2 linked regions of the Rattus norvegicus genome follow. The protein of the gene in region 1 purifies or fractionates together with the protein of each later gene. This does not show direct contact. Links are inferred from orthologs where the notes say so. Each region holds a gene or a part of one and is shown on either strand. Other genes may lie near its edges.

What was found.
Region 2: the proteins of Med9 (region 1) and Med21 purify together in Homo sapiens (co-immunoprecipitation; 8 studies listed by BioGRID and IntAct, counting the BioPlex papers as one, with this or other methods). This does not show direct contact. The link is inferred for Rattus norvegicus from reciprocal best matches to the Homo sapiens genes MED9 and MED21.

What each region holds. Positions count from the first base shown.
Region 1 is NC_086028.1:45,262,859-45,265,501, forward strand, and holds the end of Med9 (mediator of RNA polymerase II transcription subunit 9), read left to right. Parts: intron 1-463; coding exon 464-680; 3' UTR 681-2,130; downstream 2,131-2,643.
Region 2 is NC_086022.1:181,289,960-181,294,081, forward strand, and holds the start of Med21 (mediator of RNA polymerase II transcription subunit 21), read left to right. Parts: upstream 1-1,314; 5' UTR 1,315-1,343; coding exon 1,344-1,385; intron 1,386-4,122. UniProt on the Homo sapiens protein: Component of the Mediator complex, a coactivator involved in the regulated transcription of nearly all RNA polymerase II-dependent genes.

The DNA.
Region 1 (2,643 bases):
ACCTGAGACTTGCTGTTTCAGCCTGTTTCTACACCCCCATCCCATCCCAAGGCTGAGCTGGGTTTATATCACGTGTGTCCCTGCTTTTACATGAATGGTGGAGCTCCAAACTCGGGTTGTCATACTTGTGCAAGTGCTCTTTACCCACAGTTGTCCTATGTGTAGGGCCAGGTTGGTGAGACAGCTGTGACGAAGCCAAGTTGGTCCCTGCCATCATCGAGAATTTTAAGTATCTGACTTGTCAGGTGTGCTCATTGGGAGTGTTTTTATGAGCTTAAAGCTAAAGAACAAAACAAATAAAAGACCAATCCCTGTCTTCTGGGGTAGGTAACCTAGTAAGGGAACAGACATGTCTGACAACATTCTAAAAGTCATCAGAGGTGTAGAACAAGGAAGCCATTGTGGAAATGAGCTACACATGCTAATAACTGACTGACTGCCCTCTACTCCCCCTGTCACCCAGCATGGACAAGGACAGCCCGGATCTCCACCAGGACCTGAACGCCCTCAAAACAAAGTTCCAGGAGATGCGGAAGCTCATAGGCACCATGCCTGGCATCCATGTGAGCCCTGAGCAGCAACAGCAGCAGCTACACAGCCTCCGAGAGCAAGTCAGGACCAAGAATGAGCTTCTGCAGAAGTACAAGAGCCTCTGCATGTTTGAGATCCCCAAGGAGTAGGACCAGCTCCTAGCAAAGCTGCCAACAGACTGAAAGCGTCACACTGTGCTGTCCAGCTCCTTGGGAGCCCAGCTCTAAACTGTGAGGCCACATGTGGCTGGTGTGGGGCCTGGGTGGCTCTACTCAGCCTCCACTCTCTATGCCTTGGGCCTCATCAGAGGGAGAGGGGGTAGCTGTTCCCTTCCTCCCTGAGCTCCTCCCACTCCCACTATCAGCATGGCATCAGGTACATACTGTTCCCATCAACAGCAGTTTCATGAAGCATTTGCATAGAATTCACGGGGTAAATTAGGCCTGCACTCAGATGGCATGGATTTATTATAATTAAAGAAGGCTGTGAGAGTATGAATATTGTGTTGAAAGGCCAGAGGGTGGGTGGCTTCTCCCCCAAAACAGTTCACTTCCTTTTTTGTTTGAACAACTGAATGAAACTGTATCTCTGGGGGCGTCAGCCCAGAGCTCTGCCAACCAGCCTCCAGCTTCAGTCGCTGGCCTCCTGCATCTCGCCTCACCTTGTAGGCTCGGCTGCCTTTGTCTCCATCACTTCAGGCAGTGCTCAGAATAGCCAGCGCACTGCTTGCCCGGGGCCCTTCGTCCTTCTTCCCATGCTGGTTCAGAGAGGCGGTTAAGTAAGCGGCTCTGCCCTGATTCATGCCTCGTCCTCTCCGCTCTCACCAAGGAGTCAGCCATACTTGCTACCCTGTACATGGTCTCTGCACACTTCTAGTTTGGAGCAGAGTTGCTGGCAGGAGCAGTTGGGGGCAGTTTCTCAGCCAGGGGATGTGTGGTTTAAAGGGCATGGGGAGCTAAGTCTGGAGGTGCCATCGCTGTGTTCTACTTGTAGAGAGTGCCCAGCGAGTCCCAGGTAGCACACTGTGTTCTCTGTCTCCCAGGGACTGTTACACTGAGGGCGCCATGGCCCTTTCCTTCTCTCAGGAGGAAGGTGAGAAGTACCCAGGATTGTTTGGATCTTGAAATGGGCACAGCCTGGGCTCAGCTTAGGACTTAGCAGGTGCCTGCCAACTGGCTTTGTTGGCGGAGTGCTGGCTGGGGTGTTGTTGGCGGAGTGCTGACTGACCGGGGTGTTTTAGCAAACGTTCTGTCTGTCCAGGACGCTTCACACTTGGGACCTGGAATGTCAGTGGTTTGGGCAGAAAAGTGGACTCTGAGTTTGAATAGAGGGTGACAATGAAGCCACCTCTGCCTTGGGGCTGTCCTTTAACCCAGTCAGTTCCTTTCTGCCAAGGCGAAGCAGTGGCTGGACCAGCTTTAAGGCTCTGCCCAGTTCCTGTAAGGGCAGAGCACGTGAAATGCAGGAGCTTCGGATCTTCCTGACAGGGAAGAAAGAAGGCTTCCTCGAAGGGCTGGAGGCTCGGAGGCTTCTCTGTTCCAGTGTGTTGACCTGTCATGTTTTCACATATGTAATTAAAAGTATGTTCTGTTCTCAGGACACATGGTTTGCCTGTTGTCTCTGTCTCTCTCAGGGCTAGCAGTCAGACCCTGGGATTGCAGGTCTTTAAAATGAAGAATTAGAGTGGTGTGTTGAGTGGGTGGTGTAGAGGCAAAAATGTTCACTGCGCTCCTCCTTCCGCCCAGCATGTACATCTGTTAAATGAGCACAAAGCCTACACGTCTCCCGCAGGGGACCCTGGGGAGCCCAGCCATTCATTGTTGAGAAGTGAGTGCCTTTCTGAGATTTGAGGAGGTACAGTTCCCTGCAAGTGGCCCTTCCCAAAGCAGGGTTGACAAGACCCTTCCTCCCCCGGTCCCAAGACAATTTTGAGCATCCCCGAAGGTCAAGACCCTGGAAAAACCAAGTATTTGGCTGGGCGGCTGCAGCAGTTGTGCTGACTCCTTGGAGACCATGTTGACCCCTGCACAGAGTGCCTCGATTTCTCAGCTGCAGAATTGGAGACTTGGAAGGCGACACTTGCCCTAAGTTGACCGTAGGAGTGGCAAGGAG
Region 2 (4,122 bases), on another chromosome or scaffold:
TTTGTGCTTGAAAGTTCGCCCTGAGGAAGACTCGGGGCTGTCCTAAGATCCTGAACACCCAGTAAGGTCGAAAGTTGGCTAATCACGACTATCTGTTGGCTTTAACCACATCTGAGGAGTCTTCTCTGGTGGATACCTCACAACAGCCTCCTCTGTTATGTCCTCCTCTGCTAGGGTTCACCAAGAAGGCTCTCTCAGGATGTTAGCACCTTGTTAGTGGACTTCTCAGCCTCCAGAACACTGTAGGGAGTAGATGTTCTTTGTAATTACTTGTCTGTGCTATTCGGTTGCAGCCACAAAAGACTGGCTCACAAACCCACCCACCTCTAACTCCAGGAATGATCAGCCTGGAAATTAAAAGAGTTTGTCCGACGTCCCCGAACCAGGTATTTGCAGATTCAGGACTCATTTCCCATCAAAATATCCCCAGGCTAACAGAAATAACCTTTCTGCTATACCCTTCATATGGAAAACTGTCAGGAAGCCCCAGTTCTAAACCTAAATTCTGAACCTGCCTAACTTACTTATTTTCCTGGAACCTCTGCTGACCAGAGCCTTTCCCTTTCCTCTCAATCTGTCTTTTCCTCACAGTAATTTCCTCCAAGCCTGTGCTGACAATGAACCTCCCACCTTTTAATGCCCTTCTTCCTCCTTTTCAACTTTAGCTGTCATCCGTTCCTCAGCACAGCGCTGTTTAATGCTTTCCATTCCTGATGTGTCGTTTCCCCCCAGGGCACTCCTACTCCTACAGAATTAAAGCACAAATCTAGTCTCCAGTGGGGTAAGCACCTCCTACCCCAAACTAACAAGCCACCCTCTTCTATCCTTTTTTGATTGCCTGGACAACGTTACTATCTTGGGTTTAAATGTTGTGAATAGCTAACGTGTGTTGTGGCTAATGGTTGTAAATGGAGTGTATGCTTTGTGGTATACCTGGAAAGTAAAAGTAAAAAGTGTTCCAGATAATGCAAAACAAACAAACGATCGAAAACCAAAACTCCTCACAGACAAAACATGTTCCAGGACAGCCAGGACTACACAGCGAGGCACAGCCTCAAGAAAGCTAGCAGGAGGGAGGAAGCACGGTCCCTCCGCAGGCTCCGTCCAGCGTCTCCGCGAATTTGGGGCGGCTCCGCCTGTACGCGTCCCGCTCCGGCTCGCCAGCCCTGAATCCTACCCGCCTGACCTAAGCAGGCCGCAGCTAGCTCCGCCCCTCCCCGGCAGCGTGCTTCCTTAACCACGCCCCTCAAGGAGGGAGCCCTATGATTGGCCCACAGCCGTCATAAATTGGCCAATCGCGCGCTCTCGGGGAGCTTTTGCGCACCGCTGCGTGCGCGGAGAACATGGCGGATAGACTCACGCAACTGCAGGACGCTGTGAACTCGGTGAGGGCTTTCCTCTGTTCGCCAGCCTTTCTTTCTTGACGGGAAGAGAGGAGGAAGGGGCGAGGCGAGGCTCCGGGGAGCGTACAGGTTGAGGTCACCGCGGACGGCGCGCCCGGGAGGCCGGGGTCTCACGGAAGCCACGGGGCTAAGGAGACAGGCCTGCCCTGTGGGGGGACCCGGCCCGGCGGCCTGTCCTGAGAGGAGGCGCGACCCGCCGGTCTCTCTTGAGTGGGGTTGGACCCGGGGCCTCTCCTGAGGGGAGGTGGGAACTTGAGGAGGGGAACGAGTGGCCTGCACTAAGGATGGGACCGGACGGCTTCTCCTGAGCGGAGATCCTCGGCCAGGTATCCCGGAACGCGAGTACTCTAGTCCCAGGGATGCTTCTGGAACCTCTTTTGTGGGGCGGGACAAGCTTAAGCACTTTTGTGTATAATCCCTCACCCGCGTTTCAATTTGCCAAATGGATCCCACCTGTGATCGAACTCAGGCGGCTGAGACAGGAGGATTGCAACGAGCTCGGGGCCAGCCCGAGCTCCAGTTTGATATCCCATCTCAGAAAACAAAACAGAAAAGACCACAACAAAGTGTTGAGTGTTTGTAGGTTGGTGTATGAGTGGCCAGGGGGTGAGGTTGCTTTGGCCTTTAAAGGATGTGACTCCTCCGCTCTTGGCCACTCTGTCCCCAATAGTTGGAGAGTAACATCTTCTAGAGGAGTCTAGAACCTGGTTTCTCCATTTCTTTGCACTTGTTTAAGTCTGCTTTAGGGTCTTCCCTATGAATGTACACAAGGGATTTTTTTGTTTTGTTTTGAGATGGTTTTGCTGTGTAGCTCTGGCTGACCTGCACACCATGGAGACCAGGTTGGCAGTTAAAAACAAGAAAACAACTTGAGAATCATAAAATCCACAGCAAAAAGCTCCTGAAAACTAGCTTTTCAAACTCTATCCCCTCTGACTGTTATTCTTGCTAAATATACATGAATGGGAAGCTAAAAAAATACCGAGCCTGAAATGGTGACCCACACCTTTAATCCCTGACACTCAGGAGGCAGAGGTAGGCAAATCTGAGTTTGTGGCCAGCCTCAAAGTGAGTTCCAGTACTATGTACAGCCAGAGCTTTGTAGACAGACACCGACTCAAACAAGAATTTAAAAAGTACTTCTGCTTATTTCCATTAAGAATGCAACAGTTGTCCATTGGTAGTTAAAAATCTCTTCATGTCATTGAGGTTGAGTTTGATGTGGAAGTGCCTACAGAGTAGTGTATGCCTGCTGGAAAAAAATCCTAACACCTAGTCCCCTGGCCAGTGTTTTCCTTACAGGGATGTTATAACTTGACTTCTCGGTAATACATCACTTTGAGAGTGCTTTGAAATTGCGAATCCACTAGTAGGAAAACTAGCCTACTTTGTGCACATAAAGTGGTCTTAAAGTTGAGGGGCTATCTCTTAAATAAATGCTGATGAATTCGACAAGGTACGTTCTGTTTTACAAAGATTCCCTGAGCTACCAGCCAGCCTCTCCCTAGAAAACACTTCTTTGTGATTGCTTTACAAATCTTAATAAGGCTGTGTAGGAGCTTATCTCCTAAAAATGCATGCTCATGTAGGATACAACCATCTTGACTTATCATAGGTGGACTGGTAATCGAGTTAATATGGATGTCTACTGAGTCCATAGGTAATGTGTTTACAAAGAACTAGTCAAGGAGCTTACAAAGATGTCATAAACTCAAGAGACTTTTTAGATGATGCAAACAAACCCCATATGTGGCTAGGGAGTTAGAGTGAATTGTTTTCAGCTCTTAAGAGCTAAAGTAGATCGGAGCCTAGAGCGATATTAACTGTTTGGAAACTCCATGAGTACAGAAGCTATATCACGTTCATCTCTATAATATTTATGTGCAGTACTTGTCGTAGGGCTGGTTTTTCAATAAATATTTACAGATAAACAGTGATTCTTGAATGAACTTACAGAACAGGACACATGGCTACTGGATTGAAAAAGTTTCATTTGTATTTTTCTTTCTTATAACAGTGCTGCTAAGTAGAATACAGCAACTTAAAAAGCCACCCAGTTATCTTTTCAATGACAATTCAGATTTTTGTCATTGAAATAATAGTAGCAAAACAATGGAAATGTTTACTGATTGGAAGTAGTAAATGAGGTTTCAGAGTTAGGACTAGAGAGGACTGTGTTTAGTTTTGAATGGTGTGAACTAATATTCTCAAATTACTTAAATTCAGTGTTTTTTAGCTTTGCTTCTTTTGAGACAGAATCTTTTTTTTTTTCCCCTTCTTTTTTCTTTTTTTTTCGGAGCTGGGGACCGAACCCAGGGCCTTGCGGTTGCTAGGCAAGCGCTCTACCACTGAGCTAAATCCCCAACCCCTGAGACAGAATCTTATTATATAACTCTGGCTGGCATAAAACTGTCCACGTAGTCCAGGCTAGCTTCAAACTGACAGAGATCTGACTGCCTCTGTCTCCGCCTCCCACATGCTGAGATCCATCATGCCTCAACAAATGAATTGTAAGCAACAATGTTACAACTTGAGTCTTGAATACATTTCTGATAATTTACAGTAAAAAACATTTTTTTCATGTAGTACAAACTGGCCTCAAACTTCCTTATGTAGTTGAGGATGGTGACCTTGAACTGCTCTTCCTTGCCTCCCTCCTCCAGAGTATTGGGTTACATGTATATGCTGTTACTCCTAGATTTTTCTTCAGCGCTGGGGA